Linked DNA regions of Mytilus edulis. The protein of the gene in region 2 purifies or fractionates together with the protein of the main gene of each other region. This does not show direct contact. Links are inferred from orthologs where the notes say so. Each region holds a gene or a part of one and is shown on either strand. Other genes may lie near its edges. The genes, in order: mitogen-activated protein kinase kinase kinase 7-like, serine/threonine-protein phosphatase 6 catalytic subunit and TIP41-like protein.

What was found.
Region 1: the proteins of serine/threonine-protein phosphatase 6 catalytic subunit (region 2) and mitogen-activated protein kinase kinase kinase 7-like purify together in Homo sapiens (affinity purification with western blotting; 3 studies listed by BioGRID and IntAct, with this or other methods). This does not show direct contact. The link is inferred for Mytilus edulis from reciprocal best matches to the Homo sapiens genes PPP6C and MAP3K7.
Region 3: the proteins of serine/threonine-protein phosphatase 6 catalytic subunit (region 2) and TIP41-like protein purify together in Homo sapiens (co-immunoprecipitation; 4 studies listed by BioGRID and IntAct, with this or other methods). This does not show direct contact. The link is inferred for Mytilus edulis from reciprocal best matches to the Homo sapiens genes PPP6C and TIPRL.

What each region holds. Positions count from the first base shown.
Region 1 is NC_092353.1:40,922,775-40,930,970, reverse strand, and holds the start of mitogen-activated protein kinase kinase kinase 7-like, read right to left. Parts: upstream 3,520-8,196; 5' UTR 3,380-3,519; coding exon 3,326-3,379; intron 1,760-3,325; coding exon 1,577-1,759; intron 698-1,576; coding exon 652-697; intron 1-651. UniProt on the Homo sapiens protein: Serine/threonine kinase which acts as an essential component of the MAP kinase signal transduction pathway. Plays an important role in the cascades of cellular responses evoked by changes in the environment.
Region 2 is NC_092345.1:11,366,725-11,375,437, reverse strand, and holds the start of serine/threonine-protein phosphatase 6 catalytic subunit, read right to left. Parts: upstream 3,352-8,713; 5' UTR 3,292-3,351; coding exon 3,223-3,291; intron 2,035-3,222; coding exon 1,939-2,034; intron 1,158-1,938; coding exon 1,092-1,157; intron 444-1,091; coding exon 376-443; intron 1-375. Other genes in the region: E3 ubiquitin-protein ligase ARK2C-like, read left to right, coding at 8,650-8,713.
Region 3 is NC_092353.1:75,585,790-75,594,137, reverse strand, and holds the start of TIP41-like protein, read left to right. Parts: upstream 1-4,534; 5' UTR 4,535-4,542; coding exon 4,543-4,592; intron 4,593-5,229; coding exon 5,230-5,355; intron 5,356-6,530; coding exon 6,531-6,710; intron 6,711-8,348. UniProt on the Homo sapiens protein: May be a allosteric regulator of serine/threonine-protein phosphatase 2A (PP2A). Isoform 1 inhibits catalytic activity of the PP2A(D) core complex in vitro. The PP2A(C):TIPRL complex does not show phosphatase activity.

The DNA.
Region 1 (8,196 bases), on a different chromosome or scaffold from region 2:
GAGTAGAAAATTTCTTAAAATTATGCAATGCGACAATAGAAATCTACATTTTGTACCATTTGGTTATATTTATGATCCCTTTTGACTCTTGTGGAGAATTGTCGCATTGGAAATTATACAACATCTTATTTTTATCATGTTTATATTATCAGCAATTATTAATAATCATATTTTTCTTTGAACATTGCAATTGGTTGTGATTGAACAAGAATCGCTAGCTGTTCAGGAGAATCAGATTTTATCACTGTTTTTTCAAGGCTAAATTCTATTTTTTGGGTTTCGTCAAGTTTTTGTTAGCTTAGACATTTTTCTTTTTTTATTTTACAATGAAATTGACTTTCCATTTTAAAACTTATAACCTTTTTCGAGCAATTATGTAATAAATCAAATGTTCTTTTTGTTCTATTGAAGAAGCAGCTGTTTCATTTAGAAAAGATAACTCAAGACACATTTTGCAGCTCATCTTGAAAGTGCCTGTCCAGGAGATTTTTAAGAAGTGTTTCATTTCATCAAAACCAGAGGATCTGGAAATGTCTTCAAAACAGAATGTAAGACAGAACATGTACATTGTCTGAAACTTGTAAGCAAAATGTGGACACAGCATCTGTACTTCAATAAGATTGACACACCTCTGTTGTTTATAGTACCTACCATTATACAGTGAGCCACCTTCAGCATACTCCATTACAAGACATACCTAAAATAACATGCAATCTTTGTACATGTATAATAAAATATCTAATATATATATATATATATATTAATATATTTTCTTTGTCTGTTTATGTTGTAATGTAACACCATGGTCTAAGGTTAGGGTGAAGGTTGGTGCCTGTTTAAACCTACTGTATTTTTTAAACACCTGTTCTAAGTCAGGAGCCTGTTGTTCAGTGGTTGTTGTTTATTGGTGTGGTTCATAGGTGTTTCTTGTTTCTAGTCTTTTATATTGATTAGAGATTTGGTGTTGCCTGTTTGAATTGATTTACACTAGTCATTTGGGGCCTTTTATAGTTTGCTGTTCCAGTTAAGCCAAGGCTCTGTGACTGTGTTGAAGGCCATACTTTGACCTATAATTGTTAATTTTTTTATACATTGTGACTTGGATGGACAGTTGTATCATTGGTAATCACACAGCATCTTATTTTTTATAATACATGCTTCCCTTTATTAATAAATACATGCAGAAAATATGTGTGAAAAAGATGACTTTATATCTGATGCGAAATATTTTCAGATTTTCATCTCTTACCTATGTCTACAACCAAACACATCTTTTTTAACTTTTTTAGTTTGAAGTTTTTTATTCTTTCAAAGTTTCAACTTGGAAATATTTCTTTTAAATACAGTCTGCACCAAAAACTTTTTCAACTACTAGTTCGAAGACCAATATTCTGACATTTTTCTTATTAGTCCAAACAAAGTTTTGCAAAAACTTACTAGTCTGAATGAAATTTTACCAGTCTGGGTCATCGGACTAGTGGCTAACTGTGCAGACTGTAAATATCAGCACGATCAGGTGTACCACAAACATGCATTATCATCATGATCATATTTAAACCATATACAATGTACTTACTGTTGGTGGTTTAGTACAAGCACCATACAGTTTGACTATGTTAGGATGATTAACTCTTGACAGCTGCTTTAACTCTGTCATAAAAGCTTTCCTCTCGGATTCGGTTTCTATTAGTTTTACTGCAACATCTTTTGATCTCCATTTTGCTCTACTGACAACTCCAAATGCTCCTTTCCCTACAACCTGCAAAAAAAATTAAAACAATATTATTTTAAATAAATGATTGTCATTCTATCTATCAACAACAATACAGTATATATTTCCAACATTACATCTTCATTGTACAATGTATCAAACTCAATGATTTTGTACTAAATTTTTAAACTGCAACTTTTAAACAATGGACAGTTGTTTGAGATTAGACATTCTGGTGTAAATGATATATAAGTATATGTTGTACATGTACAAATATTTTTTTCAAATTTAAAAATTTAAAAAGTAAGTTATTTATTGGCATAAATGAAAAAAAGTTGAGGACTAAAAATTTGATCCATCTTCCCACAAGAACAATTTTGTTTTTTGGTCAATATTTCATATGTACATGTAAGCTATAGTAAAGTAAGATACATTTACATATGTACAAATATATATACATGATATATGTCATGATCAAATGTAACAAAATAAACCACACAAAACCAAGTAAATTCAATCAATATCATGGAAACACAAATTTATTTATGACATAACATTAACAGAAATATAAAAAGAGTTTAATATAAAGAATTTTTAGATGATAAGAATAATAATGATTCATGAAGGAAAGCCAAAAACTCTTTCTCAAGCATGACAAGTGGTAAATTTAGCAACTACCAGCTGAATTTATTGGTTTACAAATTTATAAATTTCATTTCTTTAGATAATGGGTATCCGGTCGTTCTGTCTCCAAACTAATCCGGCCCAAAGTCGATCCGGCCCACATAATAAAATATTGAATAATCTATACTGCCTTAGGCAGCAACTGGGGGGGGGGGGGGGGGGCTATGGATTTTTTTGGAAAAAAAAGTTTGTTTCCAGTTTTTGGAGAAAAAAACAATTTGTTTTTGATTCTGAGAGAAAAAAAATGTTTAGTTTCCCCCTTAGCTGCCACTATATGTAATGCTAAAATTGAAAGAAAAAATTGTTTTCGACTTGTCGCGAGAAAAATATATTGTTTAGTTTTTCGCCACAGGCGAAGAAGAAAGTTTGTCCAGAAAAAAAATCTGTAGCCCCCCCCCCCCCCCCCCAGAAAATCAAATGGTTGCTGCCTTAGGAGATTTGGTGACAGATTTAAATCAGTATAAATGGAATTTGTAAAATCTAAAAGTATCGATAATTGATGACATTGCTGTATTTTGAATCGATACGAAAATGAGTGCAATGTGTCTGTTTAACCATACATGTCAAAGATTAATGAAACAGTAACTTTTTGTACTCATTTTAAAAAAAAATAAACACACATGTTACGGCCTAACTGACAGTTTGGCTGTACTGGCGGACACATCTTGAATTTGGAAGTTGAAGCAGCGGCCGAATTGTCAATTTTTTAGAGCTGTACTGTAGAATTATCATATAATCTAAAAGGTTTTTGTCCACCTGATTACTACTCATAGTGGTTGACAATGCACAAACATAATGTAATCGTATCTTTCATAACTTTATGTCTACTCTAAGCTATAATAATACAATGGAGAATATGATTATGAAAATCAAAACATGGACAGGGTTTGACAGACTAACATATATAAACAAATATACAAGAAGCATAACCTCGTAGAATTGTAGTTCTCGAAAGTCTATCTCCTCCACAAAAGTGGGTTCCATTTTAAGTTAAATACTCATAAATCTACGTTCGTCTTTTCCATGAAATAGGTTTTAAAAAATCCCTGCCCATATTTTGGTCGAACTGAAAGTGGAGGAACTTGGGAGACTCGTTTTGGAATTAGAGCAAATCATGTTACACTGATGTGTTCATGTTATGCAGTCGATATCAACCTAAACCATAATTCCGGAATCATCCGGAAGTTACCGAACAAGCGCGATTGTGAATACGACAATCGCATGTTCATGTTCATGTTAATTAAAGTGATATTGGTGTTTCAGGATTAAAGATTTTGTCAAACGTCAACGAAACAAGTCTTTATAAAAGAAACGTAAAGGATATGGCGTGACACAAATCAGCACATGCATATTTGTTAGTTAATGACTACTTACTAGTATATGCGTACATGAAAATAGACGTTTCGGCCATGGTGTCAGTTCGGCCTTGCCAACGGTTAATTAACATTAATTCGATTTAAACTTAAGTTTGGACACTCTCTCAAATGTAATTGGAATTAAATTATAATCAACTAATTGAAAAGTTAACGTCGTTTGGACGGTGCAGTGAAGAGAATTTGACACGCATTGCATCTACATCTACATCTAAATCTATACTATTGATCTGCAGTGGACATCCATAACGCAGATACTGCTGTGCAAACGTCAACCTGCGTGCTCAGTATTTACAATTGCAATTAAAATTCGATAAAAACAGGTGGTTTCTGTTTACAGCTGCAGTCTCCGAAGTTGCTCCTTGAAGCTTTCCAGAGACTAGCTTGGAAGGTTTCAAGAATCAGGCTGTTCCAGTCAGTGATGGTGCGTAGTTTGTAGCTGTAATTGTAGGCATCTGTGGAAGTACTGATCTGAGTGAATTTTCTGGATGGTATTGTCTATAATAATAATAATAATAATAATAATCATAATCATTAAAATGATGATGATGATGATGATGATGATGATGATGATGATGATGATGATGATGATGATGATGATGATGATGATGATGATGATGATGATGATGATGATGATGATGATGATGATGATGATGATGATGATGATGATGATGATGATGATGATGATGATGATGATGATGATGATGATGATGATGATGATGATGATGATGATGATGATGATGATGATGATGATGATGATGATGATGATGATGATGATGATGATGATGATGATGATGATGATGATGATGATGATGATGATTACAATACACAATATATACGATACATAAAGACAATACTAACACATATATGGTAAAATATATTGGCATTATTTTGAGTGCAGTATCCTTAAGTGTATGAAAAATTTGCTGACTGTATTTTATCAGGGATAACGGCCATGAAAACTCTAAAGCTTGTTTCCAATGGGGTCCCTTCATGGAAACGGCTTATAGTTTCGACATACAAAAAAGATAACACAGAAATCAATATGACATAAAAATTCTTATAAAAATAATTTATATAAAAATATGATTAACAATATAAAAAGGAGTCTGATGACGCCGCACTATAACTTTTGGCCAAGTGCTCTTTGACGCTAATTTTGAATTTCTTTATTTTCTTTATTTTTTTTAACATTAATTGGCAACATATTCCAATCTTAATTGTATGCCATTAAAATAAAATGTGTCTTTAACTGGAGGAACCCAGAAGTTATATTCCTATGGCATTAATAATTTTAAAAAGGTTTACTTTTATAATGTGAAATGTGTATACTGTATTATTGATGGTGAGACGTTAATAAATTATTATTGTATTATTGTTGCACTATTTCGTGTGAAATGATGATGTAAATTTCTCACCGTTGTATAAAATTTGAATAATATAATTAGGACAATGATGGTAATAAATATTATGTATGATGGTTTAATCTCAATTGTTTAACACGATTTTCAATATTAACATAACCAATACTATTCAATACATTATGGTCAACTTTTGAACTATATCCAGTGGTTTTTTTTTTTTATAAATCTAACACATTTGTTTTGTAATACTTGTAACTTATCTTTATATTTTTTGCTGACACCAGCATACCATGCAGAACAGGCCTATAGTCAAAATGACATTGAATTAAAGCTGTAACTAAAGTCTTTCTTGATTGTTCAAATAAACATTTTGCCTGTCTGTATAGGAACTTCAATCTTGAATTTATCTTTTGAATAATAGTATTTAAAAAAATTTCTCCAGAAAGAGAATTATCTATATTAAGGCCTAAATATTTCACACAATATTGCGAGGAAATTGTGTGATTTTTACAAGTAACATCAAAGTTACGGATTTTAGATAATTTACGTTTTGACCCAAACAGAATAGTTTCTGTTTTCCCCAAATGAAGTGATAATTTATTATCAATCAGCCATTTGCTACAAGATTCAAGTTCCTTACCAAGTTTCTCAGATATAACTTCTGGGTTTTTATGAGAGTATAGTATGGTACTATCATTTGCATATAGTAAAATTTTGCAGTCTTTACTAATACTTATAGACATGTCATTAACATATAGATTATAATATAGGAATAAAAGTGATTCTTAAATACTCCCTTGTGGTACTCCACATGTAATATATCTTAAATCAGATTCAGTACCATTTATACTAACTTTTTGTTGTCTATTACATAAATATGATTCAAACCATTTATTACATTTTTTGTAGTTTGTTGCACAATATAAGATGGTCGACAGTGTCAAAGGCTTTTTGTAAATCTAACATTATCATTCCAGTATAAAAACCCTTAGCAGTTTCATTTTTAATATGATCTAACAAATGAATAAGACATGTATCTGTAGAATAAGCAGATCTGGAACCAGCTTATAAATTATAAAGTAGATCATTTTCCACCAGATATTACTGACGATCAATGCATTGAATATGTACATATTGTTGGAATCCCCCTTTCTCCTGGGTTGGGAACCCCCTTTTAAATGTGGCTCGATCCGCCTCGATCAATTCCAGTCAGTATTTACCAAAGAAAACCTAAATAACTTTCCAGATAAAGGAAAAAGTCCATACTACACCATGAAGGACATAAAAATTAGTACCAACGGAGTCCACAAATTGTTAAAAAACCTGAAACCGCATAAAGCTACTGGTCTCGACTCAATACCAGCCTTTATACTGAAAGCAGCAGCAGAACAACTTGCTCCGATACTCACAGACCTATACCAAACATCATTGAACACTGGTGAAGTCCCGCAAGATTGGAGAGATGCCAATGTAGTTCCACTTTTTAAAAAAGACGAAAGGCACCTAGCATCTAACTACAGACCAGTATCTCTAAATTCAATCACGTGTAAGGTCTTAGAACATATTGTACACAGCAACATCATGGACCACTTTGACAAAAATAAAATACTAACTGATGCATAACACGGGTTCCGCAAAAGACGATCACGCGAATCCCAACTAATCGTAACCATCAACGACATTGCATCAAAATTAAAAAGCAGCGGCCAAGTAGACATCATCCTGCTAGACTTTGCAAAAGCATTTGACAAGGTACCACATCACCGCCTCCTACACAAGCTGGAATACTATGGCGTCAACCCCAAAACCAATAAATGGATTCGCTCCTTCCTACATAACAGAAAGCAGAGCGTGATATTAGAGGGTGCTGTCTCCTCACAAGTACCAGTACTCTCTGGTGTACCCCAAGGCACAGTCCTTGGTCCATTACTGTTCCTGGCCTACATAAACGACATGCCAGAAACAGCATCTACATCAGAGACCAAATTGTTCGCGGATGACAGCCTACTCTTTCGTACCATCACCAACCAAGCTGACAGTGAACTACTTCAAAAGGACTTAACAGCATTGGAAGACTGGGAAAACAAATGGCAGATGAGTTTTAATGCCAAAAAAAATGCCTTGTCATCAGAATATCCCCAAAAAATAGACCAGTGATACAAACATCGTACCAGCTACACGGTCATACTCTAGACACAGAGGAAGCAAGCAAATATCTTGGAGTAACTATCAGCAACAACCTAACATGGGATAAACACATAGACAATACAGTAGGCAAAGGAAACAGAACGTTGGGATTTATACGTAGAAACCTCAAAGGCTGTACAAAACCTGTAAAGGCAGCTGAGTATGTATCCATGGTAAGACCTGCAGTGGAATACGCAAGCACAATATGGGACCCAACCGCCCAAAATAAAATCAAGGCAATTGAACAGGTCCAGAAAAGAGCTGCACGATTTGTGAATAACAACTACACAGACCGAACACCTGGCTGTGTCACAAATATGGTTAAAAATCTGAAATGGGAAAGTCTAGAAGAACGGAGGAAAACAAATAGATTATGAATGCTATTTAAGATCCAGCATAATTTTATAAATATCGACCGTCACCAATATTTGACACCGAATGATAACCGGACCAGAGGTAAAAACCGCTTCTTCCAAGAAAGAACAAGTACAGACACTTACGGCCAATCTTTCTTTCCGAGGACAATCAGGGACTGGAACAACCTACCAACAACAGTTACAGCGACCAACACCGTTGAGGGATTCAGATCTGCCCTGAAGGCATGCTCTGAAAGGAAGTAGGAAAACCCAGTTGTAAATAATTTTAATTGTATATTTTTGCGAACGTTTTAAATGTATTTGTAAATAGCCAAAAGAAAGCTTTCTGTGTTGCCCGACACTGCGTAAAGTTTTCGCGCGGAACCATGAACATTCAGTATTGAATCCGGTTCCTTACCTGGAAGAAGAACGAGATATTCGTGTAGCGGCCAAAAGTATACAATGGTGGTAATATCTGTAGGGCAACATATATAAATAATATATATGATATCTGATACCGG
Region 2 (8,713 bases):
CATCAACATATTTTCATAAAATCAAATAACTTTTTTATCTAATTTTTTCAGTCATCAACATCTAACATCTGGTTTCCATACAATTTCTCCCTTTATACATGTACAGAGATTTCTTTTTACCTTTCTTTATAATTATTACAATATTTACAACTATGAGTGTTTAGTTTTCAATTCCTATAAAACAGAAAGTAGATTTGCACACAACTTATCACTATCAAACTTCTGATTAAACATGAAGCCCTTCTGTTCAGAAGTACATGTATTAGTGAAAAATTTGTTAGACAAACAAATGTACAAGGTGAACGAGATATAAGACATATATTTTAAAAATAAGACTGACAACCTTTCAACAGTGTTCATACCAAGCAGACCTACCTTGCCTTTAATGTGAGCAGTAACGTAAAAGTTTCTAAACTGTAATATCCTCGGTCTACAAAATCACCCTAGAATGAAATCAAAGTTTCTGTTCACTGTTCATATTATATAAAACTCATTATATCATGTATATATATTTACATCATACAAAATATAAGAACTATAACAATTCTGCCAATGATAAGTGTCTGAAATATCTAACTATAAAGTCATTCAGTGCAGTTATATTTGAGGACCAATTATTTTTAAAGTTCATATTTCAAGGTATTGAAAAATTCAATGAATCAGTTAATCTGAAGAATAAAAAACAAATGATTACATTTTAAAACTCATCACTGTCAAGTTGCTGATTAAATATGAAATTATTGTGTGTTGTTGGAGGAATGGACAGACAAGGTAAATGCAATATCGACCCCACATCTAGAGTGGAGGAATGGACAGACAAGGTAAATGCAATATCGACCCCACATCTAGAGTGGAGGTATAAAATACATGTACTAATATTTCTTTAAAATTTTTATTAAAAACTTTTTCAAAATGGGATAGAAAAGAACAAAATATATATATGGTGCATTCATTCATGACAAACAATCGGTATGGGATCCCATTCCACATGTTCATGCTTACATATTTAGCAAGTAATTCATTTTTTTTAAATACAGAATCTCAATAATCAATAGATCTATAATGCTATGTTACGTAGTCTGGTGACTTACCATAAAAATATAATTAGTGTCAGGTGCTTGGCCTCCTGTTTTGAACAATTCTATCAGGTCATAAAACTGAAGGAAAATTAAAAAATAATTTTAAATTTTGCACTGTGTAAATATTATTTGATGTTTAGGCATTTGCATATGTTCAAAGCTATCAAAGTTTCTGAAGTTTCTTAAGACATGATCTACGGTAACTAAAGTAGAGATCTTTTGTTCTTGTTTCACATTCATGACATTGTTTCACAACTACTCATTTTTGTGAAAAACTTGTTGCAAGTTCCTACGGTTATGTCTTATTAATTTATTCTTTCATAATTTCTAAGATAAAAATTTCCTTGGTTGACATAATTTATCAAAGTAGAATGGTGCATTTCAGAGTTTTGTAAGTGATACAATACATGGTAAAACTTCTGTGAGTATGTTGAAATGGACTGAACAATATACAAAAACAAAGTAAAATACTTACCTGGCCTGGAATCTCAGCACACAAAGACATGTAATGATAAAGGCCTAAACATTGATCATTTAACATGTAATATGTAGTAGCTATATATATAGGTGTTACCTAATTGCCTTTTATTGGCCATCCATATACATGGTACATGTATATTAATCTTCTATTTTGAGATAAAAAAAAGTTTAATTTCTAATAATCATAGGTAGGACATATAGGGCATCTTTTTCAGAAAGTGTTCACTTTAGTCAGGACAGATTAATCAAGAAAGTTTTTGAACATGTCTAGTTCAATCAATCACAATTTTGGGTGTGCATTAATTCATCAACTTATAGAAGAAGTTTTCCTCTACTTCATAACACTTCTATAATTGAGGGATCTATGATAAATATTTACCTGTCCATGAATGTCACCACACACAGTGACAGGGGATGACACAGGCTGTACATTGGATTCTTCAAGCAATAACTCACATACCATGTCACATAATCGCTGAAAAAGTATTTATAAAAAGTCAATATATAAATCAAATAATTTTTTTATTACATGACATAGTTCAGTAGTTCAGTGGACATCACAAAAGTTCCAATAAAATTTTAAAGACATAATAGAAAATATCTGATACCTAACCACAATAAAAAAAAGTGATTGTTGTATGCTGTCAACAGTTCAACTTCAAGCGAAGCGGGACAGATTTCTAAATAGTGATAAGCATGATAAGGTGTATTAGATTATTTCTGTAAACAAAAGCATATTACAATAATTACATTAGATGTATGTTTCATTACAATACGTTATTCTGCTATTTGGCTAACTGCACATCATGTGTTATTCCTTAAGCAGTTGTGTCACTCAATAAAACTTCTCATCCATGATGACACGAGGTCCCACAATAAAGTGCACAGGTAAATGAAATAAAAACTTGATAAAAGGCGTGTTTTCATGATCCTATAGGTAAAAATGTGATTATAAGTATTGAATGCTTTTTTTTGTAACTTTATAGGGTTGTAAAAGCGTTGACCGTGCGCACATTTTAAGTATGAAATGCTTCCGCGCTTCATACAAAATGTACTTCGGTCAACGCTTTTACACCCCAATAAATTTACATACAAGAATGTGTCCTCAGTACACGAATGCCCCACTCGCACTATCATTTTCTATGTTCAGTGGACCGTGAAATTGGGGTAAAATCTCTAATTTGGCATTAAAATTAGAAAGATCATATCATAGGGAACATGTGTACCAAGTTTGAAGTCGATTGGACTTCAACTTCATCAAAAACTACCTCGACCAAAAACTTTAACCTGAAGCGGGACAGACGGACGGACGAACAAACAGACGGACGGACGAATAGACAGACAGACAGACGGACGGACGCACAGACCAGAAAACATAATGCCCCTCTACTATCGTAGGTGGGGCATAAAAAGAGCATTCAATTCTTAAATATTACTCTAAATATATGAGTATATGGCTAGAGCTAATCTGTCAGTTATGTGATGAAAGTAAGTATGAAAAACCGACTGTAAAAACGATTAAAAAATAAAATAATATCAACTTCACAACAGAAACTGAGAAAGAATTCTAAAAATAACTCTGACGATTCATGTCTTGGGTTCTTTTTTCCCCATTTTAACATTAAGCATCGTTTGACATTGTTAAAATTCTCAAGCTTCATACTTTGAGGTCATTCTCTGGCAAGTAATTGCAATCTTTTGCTATTTCAATCCACTTTTCAATGTCAGACATTTTGTCGTTTTCCCTGTTTCTGGTACCCGATGAGGATATTTTTAAACCAGTCAGAATTTCTATTTTAAAGTGTATATTTCTTGTTCATTCTTTTCGTTAAGAAAAATTACTTTGACCTATTTTCTGATCATTTGAAATCTTTAAAATATCAATAAGTATTACTTTATTTCATTTTCAAGTTTATTTTATAATTACATTTTTCTTTTCTTCTCGAATATTGCACCCATTTTCTCATATAAATGAACACGTTAAAATAAATAAAAGATTACGGTGCGTTTTAATATCTGGCTTCGATAACCCATGGGGAAGGATAAACGAATAAATGTTTGGTTATAATTTTAAAAGAGGCTAGTTACAGCTTAAATTTAAATAATACTGTGTTTCTATGCAATACATGTATATGCAGTTGAAAAACAGAAGATTCATATCCACAGAGGATGATGCAATGAATTCTGATTAAATTGCAGCTATAATGATTTGCCTATACATGTATTATTTTATATCTAAAAATCACAGGCAATTGTTTCTGTCAATATGGGGTTTACTATCCATACCCGTACGAAAAATTACGTACGGGTATGGATAGTAAACCCCATATTGACAGAAACAAGTGCCTATGCTAAAAATTGTATCTATAATACTAAAATTACGAGGTCCATTTTGTCAGCCGTCATCGGGTAAAAACGACAAATCAAAGAATTCAACTCTATATAGAACTAATATAGGACAATGGTGTAGATTAAAAATTACACCACTCCAGACCCTTTTGTTTTCCACATAATTAATATTGCCAAAAATTAACAAGTTCCGGGTCGAATCCGATACCGATACCAATAGTATATTCACCTGTTAGCTATTACCTTATCTGTACGTTCCGCATTTGACAGGCGCACCAACAAACGGTGTATTTAGGATTTTGCTATATACACGGGTCAACAGCATTCAATTTGTCCTATATTAGTTATCTTAGAAAGTCTTGCTGATTGCTGAATAAAACTACAATAGGGAACAATTTGACAATGATAGAATTTAGTAGTGTCAGCCCTTTGATTATGACCCGTGTATATAGCAAAATCCTAAATACACCGTTTGGTGGTGCGCCTGTCAAATGCGGAACGTACAGATAAGGTAATAGCTAACAGGTGAATATACTATTGGTATCGGTATCGGATTCGACCCGGAACTTGTTAATTATTGGCAATATTAGTTATGTGGAAAACAAAAGGGTCTGGAGTGGTGTAATTTTTAATCTATAGGAGGACAATGCTGTTGATTAAAAAATACTCCATTCCTGGATAGCCAGGACCTTTTGTTTTCCAAATAATTAATATTACCAATAATTGATAAGTTCCAGGTCGACGGGTTCAAACAGAAAGATTTGAAAGCAAAAAAAAAAACTGTGTATCTTATAATCGACATTACTTTATCAGATGACAATACCAATTACTAAAATAAGGTTAGGCATAGTTATATACTTTAAGTCAGTCACGGACCCGCGATATCACGGGTGTGTACTTGTGTTTTCAAATAATATAAATTAGTTATGAAAATAAAAAATCAGTCCCTTGTTTTAATGAAAATTAATTCATGCTTCAACGGTGGAATAATCTGTCTTCTTAGTCTACAAAAAAAGTAACCGATCCTAAACAGCCCCCCCCCCCCTTTAGAATATCAAATGGTCGTCCCCTAATGCATTTGCATCAGTTACTTTCCAAAAACGTTCACCATTGTCTATTGTTGTTGGATGTCTTTTATAACAACTGTTATTGCTTGGTAACAAGATGATAATTGATGAACAACAAATAGAAGTTTTTAACGACCTTGACTGGCTATACAGCCCTTGCACGGTCGGCCCTGGCTTGCGCCTTTTTGGGCATTAAATAATATATTTTTATCATGTGGTAATTGACATAATTTAGAATAATAGGTAAAATTTAATAAAAATTTATAGAGCAAAAATTTGAATAAATAAATGAATAAATAAATTGATGAATAAGTAAATAAAAAAAGAAAAGAATATAAAAATAAATATAATAAAATAATATAAAAATAAATATAATAAAATAATATAAAAATAAATATAATAAAATAATATAAAAATAATTTTGTTTAAATAAAACATTAAATAATTTTGTTTAAATAAAACATTAAATAATTTTGTTTAAATAAAACATTAAATAATTTTGTTTAAATAAAACATTAAATAATTTTGTTTAAATAAAACATTAAATAATTTTGTTTAAATAAAACATTAAATAATTTTGTTTAAATAAAACATTAAATAAATAAATAAATAATTAGTAAAAACGTCTTTTTAACGATCTTTTCATTAGTACGTACTGTTTTTGTGGTTAAAATTGAATTATTACTGCCGGTTACGGCCTGACTCCATTTTTTAAATCATATGATTCTATTTATATAGCAGATAATCACGAAGTATAAATATGCCTTTTATCATGACACGACTGCGGCCGTTTTTAAGAACTCCCAAGAATAATTAACGTAACTGATCATGAGTTCAGATGAATTGCACTTGATTGTTTCATTTCACGGTAGGACAGTGATGCTATATCGTGCATAAAACTTTTCAAATATAAATAGTTCAAATATAATATCGTTTATACATGTGTGCTTTATTTTACCCTTTTCGTACGTAAAGGGTTGAAGATGAACAACATTTTATAACTAGTTGTCCAGCACACAAAGATGATAGGGAGATATTTTTCAAGGAGATAAACAGTATTTGTCCTTATTTTTCACATCTCTCAAATGAGGCAAAATTTGTTTGGTTATTTACTTATATGAAAATTTGTCTATACTTAAATATTTAAGGAACATATATATTACTAGGCTACATGTCTAGATGTTAGACGAAATGTAAATTACTGCATGTAATAATAATGTGATGCTTATTGTAATAATTTTATGGTTCTGGTCCTGTCTGGAATTAATGTATGTGATTTTTATAGAATGGAGATAATAATTAACATCTATCTGAACTTTTGAATTTTTCATTTCAATACTATCTGTAAAAAATCATGATGTATTGTTTTATGTGTACAAAAAAGTCATGTCATGCATGGGCCCTTGATTGGAATAACAAATATTCGTATTCTTATTCTTAATATTCTTTTTCTTATTCTACACCGTACGACGAAATATTAGCACATTGATGACTATTCGTCGGCGCATCGCAAACAGACACTTATTAATTTAGATAAAGGCAACAGAAGTATACCGCTGTTCAAAACTCATAAATCCATAGAAAAAAACAAATCCGGGTTACAAACTAACTGAGGGAAACACATTACTTATAACAGGAAAACAACGACACAACATTAAAATGTAGCACACAAAGAAACGAGCTATAAGCATTAGACAAAATCCGATGAGAATAACAAATACAACATATATATATAACATCAAAACTAAATACATGAATTTGGGATAGAAAAGAACCGTGACACGTCTTATAATAATGTGAATTCACACTCAAATAGAAAAGTACCATGAAACGTCTAAAGTTAACAATTTTATGAGTGCAATGATCAATAAAAAAATTGTGCAAAAATAAAAACAAATATACACATTTACATATATTTACATATACTGACTTTGAATTCGTATTTTAAACAAACACTGTTTGGCAAACTGATTATTGGTACATTTATAAAACAAGAAAATGTTATAAATAGAATGCCATTTATTACAAATTAATAGAATATTAGCATATACAAAAAAAAGATATATATATATTATACTTAACATGAAAATTTACATTTACATATAAAAATTTAGCCAAAATGTCAAATTGCCATTAGCCAAAATGTAGCATATTTTTAGACCAGATTATTACACCAATTACCCCAAACTTCTTGAACTTGCAAAAAAAGTTTTATATATTACAAAGAAAAATTGATTCAAAATCGATTAACATTTCCTGGAATTTTGTATATGGATTCCTGAATTCAATATGAAATTTATGAATAATATAATTACAGATAATAAAGCATGATAATATCAACACATTCATGTGAAATGTTTTATTTATAGATATGTATACTAGTAAACATACAGCAACAAGGAAATTAAATACAGGTTCTTAACACCGGAACTGTGTAGTCAGCCACTATTTACTCAGACTTTAATTGTTTTTATTCACGAAAATGGGTAAGTTCTGACTTTCTATCATCAGAGATTTCCACATTGTATGAATAAACTAATGTTTAACCTGTAACTATATGGTAAACGAAATTCGTATTGTTGAAAGTAGAATTTTTTTGTCGAGTAAAAGTCGATATATTAAATATATTTATGTTAACACGTTAAATGACATTAATCTGAAGGTTTCACATATATCGTGATAAATTGTTTTCTTAATATCACCATGGGAAGATATGAGAACTGTAATAAATATAAGCACTACAAAATCGAGATAAAACTTTCGATGACCTCATTCCTATATGCAGGTAGAAACGAAAGTAACTTTGTTACTTCTTGTTAGTATTGGATCATTCGATAGAACTCTTCTAGAATATTCTGCGTACAGCAGCAAGTGTTTCACATGTTTTAGTTTCGATTAGACAATTACAAAATGTTATTACAACAAAAGAAGGGGAAAATATTGTCGTTTTGAATACACATTCTAGCTAGGCCAAGCACACAAGCGATCTTAGAAAGCGATACGATATAAATTGTCGTCAGGTTAGAGAATTTGACAGTTATTTAATTTACTCGTAAGTTTGATTTAATGTTTTGTTTCATCTTATTTTATTTCTTTTATGTGTATGTTGTTTTTTTTCCAGTTTGTCAGAAGTAATTCGTTTGATTTTTTTAAAGTCATATATAAATTCCGAAAGCACAGTCCTGAGCTGAATAAGGACATGCACTTCAATTGTTTGCTATACTGTTCTTTAATTTGTAACTTATTTAATGCGCAATACAACATGTGTTACAATATATTGTAGTAGTGTCCCTCTATTCTTATTTTCTACAAAGTTTTGTGTTGTCTCTGTATTTGTTTGTTTTGTTTGCAAGTCTAGGATTTTGGAGCAATCTTTCGTTGGTGCATGGTTGGTGTGTTCTATTGTACGTACTGCATGTTTAATATTTTTGGTGATTCCATTTATCTTCATTATGATTCAATGATAATCAATAAGATTACATATTTCTATAGAAATACTTTCTGGTATGTTTAAAATAATATTCACACAGTACATCAATCAAAATGAGAATACTTTTTAACGTGTTCCGCTACAAATGTGATTTAAAGAGATGTTTACCAAATAGGAAAATAACTTACTATTTCAAAAAAGACTAGATTCTTTATATTTTATTGTAGAATGATGCATTGATCTAATGGCTTTTCGCATGTTTCATGTCGATGATGATTTTGAAAAACGGGTTCTTCAGAATGAAATTG
Region 3 (8,348 bases), on a different chromosome or scaffold from region 2:
CTGTGAGAACTATCAATGTTGACCAAGTTTGTTTCCGCTAACTCTGTTACAATTCTAGCGGGAATTTTGTATGTGCTTAATTAAAGTAAGTCATGCTGTAAACAATGCGTGGCAGTTTTAGACAGATAAAATCAGGACAAAGAATAAGTGGTCATCCAAAGTTCTCTTTTTTAAAGCTCAGTCTTTTGCCTTAAAAGGTGCTGTTTGACACTCAAAACCAATCGGCATTAATGCTTAAAACGTTAAGTAAAAAATAATGTACTCGGCTCTTATTGACATTTGATATGAATCGAATGCGCTCAGTCCCAATAAAAGGAGCACATTACTTCGAGCTGCCGTTTCCGTAAATCGGCCACAGTGCTCAACGTTGCGACACATGCATGAACATATATAATCAACGGAAATTAAAAATAGATGATTTTTTATTTCATATCCGTGGCACATTTCTTTGAAGAAGAAGACAAAACTAATGATCGTTCTCCAAGCTGAAGATCGAATTACATTTAAATATCATAACATTAAATCAAGTTGTATGTGCATCACCAAAATATGAACGAATTATAGAAGGTGTTGATAGGGTTTACAGAATAGAGAAAAAGGGTAAAACATAAAAGAAAAGAGAAAAATGGACCAAAACAAATAAGGAATAGAGACTCAGAATAATGAGGTGCTAAACTATAAAGAATAGATAATGATGGGCAAAACGTATTAAAAAATGGTATACAAAAGTAAATCACAAGTTACAAACACTGGCACAGCTTAATCTTATCAAGAATATATCTTGTTCAAATTGACAGTAATTTCGACTGAGATGAAAACTTTGTCTTATGAATATTGTAATTACAGTGAGTTGACTGTTAGTGTTGCTCTCCACCAATTGCAACTCATTCAAAATTTTGACCCAATTGCAATATGTTTTATTAAACCAAATTGTTCAACTGGTCAGAATATTGAACAAATTGTTCATTCAATATGTGATAGTGCAAAGAGATAAAATAAAATATACTTACAATCCTATAACTCCATGCACTTTAATGATGTTGCGACAAAATTTGTTTATCAGTTTGTAGAGTTATATTATAGTCATTTCCATGCTGAAGAGGAACTGTTTATTTTGAACTGCATGCTATAAAATTGTCCAAACTAAGCTTTCATGTAGTTTTTCTTTCTAAAAGTATTCTATATTTATAAGAATCAGATATCATTTTAAATAAAACATCATATATTCAGTAAAATATGTGTGAAATAACAATATGCTATTGATAAGTTTTCAGGGGAGATAACCTAAATATTATTCTTTTGAATAAAGCCTTTTTGAAAGAAAAGTTATTATCTCCCCCATGGAAACTTCCTACAAACATATATTGCAATTTTACACATATTTTACTGAATATGAAAATTTTTAATTCACATAATGTCTGATTCTTATAAATATAGAATACTTTTAGAAAGAAAAACTATATGAAAGCTTAGTTTGGACAATTTAATAGCAATTCAAAATAAAAAGTTCGGAACTTCCCCTTCAGCATGGAAATGACTTTAATATAACTCTACAAACTGATGTTCATATGATGAAATCATAATCTTTCAGTCAGTTTAATTGAAGTCTGGAGCTGGCATGTCAGTTAACTGCTAGTAGTCTGACTTTATTTATGTATTATTGTCATTTTGTTTATTTTCTTAAGTTACATCTTCTGACATCAGACTCGGACTTCTCTTGAACTGAATTTTAATGTGCGTATTGTTATGCGTTTACTTTTCTACATTGGTTAGAGGTATAGTGCGAGGTTGAGATCTCACAAACATGTTTAACCCCGCCGCATTTTTGCGCCTGTCCCAAGTCAGGAGCCTCTGGCCTTTGTTAGTCTTGTATTATTTTAATTTTAGTTTCTTGTGTACAATTTGGAAATTAGTATGGCGTTCATTATCACTGGACTAGTATATATTTGTTTAGGTGCCAGCTGAAGGACGCCTCCGGGTGCGGGAATTTCTCGCTACATTGAAGACCTGTTGGTGACCCTCTGCTGTTGTTTTTTATTTGGTCGGGTTGTTGTCTCTTTGACACATTCCCCATTTCCATTCTCAATTTTATGATAAACTAATTCTGTCACAACATCATTAAAGTGGAGTTAAAGTCTTATAGGATTGTAAGTATGTTTTATTTTATCACCTTGCACTTTCATGACTTGGCTGTGGTTTTCTACAGCAATTGGTTCAAATTTCTGACCAGTTGAACAATTTGATTTTATAAAACAAATTGCAATTTGGTCAAAATTTTGAATGAGTTGCAATTGGTGGAGAGCAACACTAACAGTCAACTCACTGTAATGACATTGTGGTTAATATAATGTAATGTTATGCGACTGTCATAAAAGTGAGAGGTTTAGCTAGCTGTAAATCCAGGTTTAATGCATACTTTTTTACATAAGGAAATGTCTGTACAAAGTCAGGAATATATGACAGTTGATTTCCATTCGTTAGATGTGTTTTGGGCTTTTTGGTTTTCCCATTTGATATGGGATTTTCCGTTTTGAATTTTCCTTGGAGTTCGGAATTATTTTTTTATTTGGCTTTTTCCAACCGTGAATTATTCAGGTTGACACTGGAAAGTGGCAGTATACATATGTATATGGAAAGCTAAGATGAATACAATTTGTTTGGGTTTTGCCGTTATTTACTTAAACCTAGTCCCCAATTAAAGAGAGGTGGAAGATATCAAAGACTGATATTCAAACTCATATATCGATGACAAACTGACAACTCCATGGCAAAAAAAAAGGATCAACAACAATCAAAATACAAACAACAGTATTCAAAATACACAGCAATACTAGAAAAGACTGGGCAACACGATCCCCACTCAAAATCATTGGTGATCTCAGTTACTGTAAGTATATACTGTAAAAAGACAAGAACAACTCTCCATCAAAGCCTAGTCACAATTTGTAAACAGTTAACTGTTATGGTCCAAGTATGGCCTTCAACACGAAGCTGTGGCTCACACCAAACAGCAAGCTATAAAGGGTCCCATCCCAAAATGACTAGTGTAAAACAATTCAAGAAGGAAAACCAGCAGTCTAATCTTTATAAAAAAAATACTTGTGAACCACAACAACAAACGACAACCAATGAACAACAGATTCCTGACTTAGGACAGGTGCAAACAAATGCAGCGGGTTTAAATGTTTTAATGGTACCAAAACTTCACCCTTATTTTAAACAATAGTGTAACATCACAACATAGAAAGACTCACTATAGAATATCAATTGAAATGGCTTAACGCAATCAAAAAGCATATTAACAAAAACAGTTACATGTGAACATACACTGAACGGACAATGTATAATACAAAATCAATAAAATAGAAAAATACTGGTCCAAATATTTTTGACTTCTAGGAAGGCTATTTTAAATCATTGCTTTGACGCCTTCCAGGGACGTGTCAAAGAAAATAATATAATAGGCTTTCAAGACGTCATAATTATTTGGACTAGAAAAATACCACACTCCCTCCTGCCCTTTGAAATTCATAATCATTCCCTAAGCATTTTCCCTCTGAACTTTTTATTATTTTTTACTTTAGACAAAAATTATATATATACATTCGTCCTGAACATGCATGAAATATTTGCAACTGGACTTTTAGCAACCAATAAACAATCAGTGAGGCCCCTCATGGGGGGGTCCTAGTAATCACATAATCACCATTTTTTTGCCAATATAATCACATAATCATTAAATATTTGCTTATCTTTAGTAATCAAATAATCATAAACTAAAAATACAGTCCTAGGTAATCAAATAATCATGAAATATTTGGCTTAATAATCAAATAATCTTTAAAAAAACGGCCAAGTAATCACATAATCAAAAACCCCATGAGGGCCCTCATCAGTTTTTTGGAAATAGTGTTGGTATCAAAGCTGGCATTTAAGGTAGCGCCTTCTTTATATTACATAATCAATAAAATAAGGGGTGAGATGTTAAACAAGAAAGATAACCATAATATTGGACTACATGCCACTAAATAAAATAACGTATACTCGTAAATAAAATTATATATTTTGTTGTAACTTGAGTCATGGAGTACTGACTTGAATATTTTTACAATTTAAGTCTTTTTTAATTTTGTAATCCGCTACAATTTAAACAAGGCATTCTGAATGAATCAATCTACAAAGTGAAAACACTTCCCAACTTTCATGATATTCCTTAAGCAAAGAGACGGCTAGTTTTTTTAGAAAAGCTACTACTTGTTTAAATTACAGGCAATTCGTTTTGCACATTATTCCGCAAAAGATGTCGCAAAACTCTTGTTAACTTTTTTTATTCCTTTATATCTAGTATTAATTGATATGAATATGAAATTTTAAAATTCTGATCGAATTAATATTATTAATCTGGTATACTACAGTGATGGAACTTAAACTTAAACAATAAAAACAAAACGACATTTACAGAAACCAGTTTATGGCAAACATGTAAAAAAAGTTATTTTTTTGATGATCAGGTACACACTGTCATACAATCTTGACAAATTCATGTCAAGAATCTTAAGTTTATTTAAACACTGCCATATTTTTTTGTCAAAGTGTGTTGGTGATATTGATAAAAATGAATATCAGCTTCTCTGGGTCGAAAGCTCAACCATATATATCACAAAAATGACAAGGTTTTAAAAAAAAAAAAAAAAAGACTTCTTTTTAAATTTTATAGCAATACACTTATTAAAGCATGATTGAAATTTTATTCAACACAAATCCTTTAAAAAAAGCTTTAAAAAAGGGTTTAAACCTACCCAGGGGTGTGAACCTGAAAGGTGGCGAACAAACATTTTATCACTATTTGGAATTTTGTCCTGCTGACCTGAGAATCTGTCCCGCTTGAACTTTTGACGTCATACAACAATCACTTTTCCATTGTGGCATCGGATATTTTCTATTATGACGTATAAAATTTACGGGAACTTTCATGACTTTATTGATATCCAGTAATGGCGGACAACTCGTGATAATGTGTATAGAACATGTGTAGAAACAGACGTGTCAGATTTGGGTCAAACAGACCCGGATTTCAGGCAAATAAATTTTAGCAGCAGCCTTGTGTTAGATCTTTTGTAGTGGTTTATGTGAAAGAAGATCTCCATTTTCCATAACATAAGATGAATATTTTGTTTTCTTATTTTGAAAAGCTAGGTTATAATTTTCTTAGATGCATATATTTTTCAGGATGATGGGAGGTGACAGTACTGCAGCTAAAGCTAGATCTGTTACAGAGAAATTCCAGTTTGGACCATGGCGTTGTACGTCTATAAAGTCACACATTCTGAAATCGGAAGGTCCAGATAGAGAGAGGTAATGTCTAATGATGAGAAGATGATTACAATTTACACAAACCTGCAGTACACACCAAAAAAGTTGAGCCATTCACTGTGAAAAGTTAACTCACCATAACATAGAATGTTTGAGCTGACATGACATTAAACAGCTCAATCAATCAGTGTGTAACAGGAGGAATGCTGCCAAATTTGGATTGATTATTGGTCTTCAACATCACTTTCTATCTTTGCCATTTTTTTTATTAGTGAGGAAGTCAGAGTACCCGAAGAGAACTACCAGACTTTGTCAGGAAAACTGACTATCCTAGTCAATTAAGATTGAAGACCAATGCATATTGTCATGAGCCTTAAAAGCTGAAAAAATTGTTATATTACACTCATATTGATTTTCCTGAGGTTGATATACTGTATTATTGGAAATTCAACTCGCAAACAAAAAAAACTACAAAAGTAATAGCAATTAGAAATTCACTTTTTAACATTTTGTACCTTAAAACAGTTGGAAGGAATTTTGTAAAATGAGCAACAAACAGATACCAACTGCTATCTATTTTATATTTTATTATTAAAATTAAGTAGACCAGGATACATGTATAAGTTAACAATAGAAAGGTTCAGATCAACACAATTTGATCAAGAGTTACTGCCCTTTAGTTGCCATGGTGGAGGACTAAGTCCTTCATAAATCAGCCAAATTCAACATGTCATACCGACTGCTAGACTGTTAAACAATTTTGATTTATTTTGGCCTTTCTTGATTCATATAAGATCCATCTTTTGTCAGACCTGTTTGTACTGCATATTTCAATTTGGATATTAAGTCAAATATAAAAATCATCTATATTGACCCCTTCAAAATGGCAAGAAAATTAACTCTATAACAAATTACATCAATTGAAAGGTAAAGTAAAGACTGAAAAGCGGGAAAGGGGGTTAAAAACCATTCTGATCCCAATTTGAAAAAAAAAATTGTGGTCATGCAGATGACAAACCAATACTTTATAGTGTTAAATTTTGAACCAAAATGATTTAATGGATAGCTTTGAAAAATAAAAAAAAAAGGCAATTCTGACTCAGACAAAAAAATAATGAAGTTAAATGGTTGCTCCAGTCCCTAACTCTATTCAATGTGTTCAAACTAACTCATTTATAGATTTAAATTTTGGGTGAATATCTTTAATGTCATTTTAGATTCGAGAGTCAATTGGAACTTCCACAGGTTCCTGAGATGGTGTTTGCTGATAACTTACTACGTTTAGAACATTCAGCAGGATTTGGTTTGGAGTTCAATGCTCTTGATGCTCTTAGATTGGTGGACCCTCGAAACGATTTACTCAAAGTGGCTGTATCTGATGCTTGGAGACAGGCTAGGTTTGTTATTGTTAAGTTTGTCTCTGCTTTGAGAGAAAAGTGGTTACTAGATCATCTTCATTTACAGGTTAACTGACCAATCACAGTTTCAATCAAAAAAACAAAACAAAACACAGAATTATCTGAAAAATAAAGATGAATGGCATAACAAGTTTGGTAAAGTTATACATTTGTTATAATCAAAGGTGATCATGTAATGTGAGATTTGATTGCTATGAGAAATGTCTGATTCAAAAGAGTTTTGGCAACTAATAATATTTTGTCCAGCAAATAAAGAATGCATTGGGTCATGGCATATTCTTGGGAATAAATTAGGTGTTTTTTTTTTCTTTCAAATTGCACTTATTTTAATATTGCTTCCATAATAGCTCTTACATGACCCAGTATCAAAAGGCCCAATTACAGAGTAGCTAACATATATGAAATTGTATATGTCGTGTACAAGTTGCAATTTTGTACAGGTTATAACATGTACAAAAATATTGTACATGTTATAATTTGTACAATGCTAAAATACAAGTTATAACATGCACAAAATGACCCCGTACATGTTATAACATGTACAAAATATAGCTTAAAAATGGTTTTAACCTGTACAAAACTTTAAAAATAATAATAAAGCAGAATATACATGCATTATTGAAATTTATTAAATAATAAAGAACAATAATCAAAAGCAAAAGAAGGTGCATTATTTACAGCATGCATAAAATACTACATTTTCATGCATTTTAGAAACATTAAATTTTTTACTTGTTGTTAAAAGACAGACACATGTGACACCTTGAGTTGCTCAAAACATTCATTCTTCTACAATTACACCTACCATAATTACAACTGCCTTTCTTACACTGATAATGCACAAAAACTTGCCCTCCTCTCAATAATAACTTGTGCACTATCTCTCTCACACTCATATCACTCATTGGGACTTCAGACACATTTAAAGTTGCATTTGCCAAAAAATGGACCTAGCTTCTCTTTATTTGTCCAACTTAAGTTCCAAATTTATAGCCGCCATATTCATTCACTTTAATCACCACGCCTTCAATGTTTCTCTCATCTACCGTATACAGGGCCCCTATACATTGTAAATGGACGGAATATAACGTTATCACTTTGGGAGAGCACAGTTATTCTAGTTTTTGAGTTTTTTTATAAGACACCAGCTTGTACCTGCTGTCCAGAAAGGGACCTCTTTCGTGCACGCTTGATGTCAATATTTGATATTTCAGATAAACCTTCACTAATATTGACAACACGAATATTACCACCCGAAAGCGACCTCTTAAGAGGAAGTTTACAAATAAATGTCATTCTGAAACTTTCTTCATCAGCTATGTTAGCATCACTTGATTCACTCACCATTGTTTTTATTTCTAACTCAATGGTTTGTTCATTATGGTCTGCTAAATGAAGACCATCATTTTCAGTGTTTGTTTCAGTAATAATGTCCGTCTCTGATATTGTTGTGTCGGTTTCAATTCAGTGTCGGTTTTATGTTCTGTCTTGGTCAAAGGGTCTTCACTATGAGTATTATTGGATACAGAACTTGCTTCAAATATTGCTTCTATTTCTTCTTCTGATTGAATACCAGGCGAGAATACGGAATAATGTTTATTGACTTCAGTGTATTTA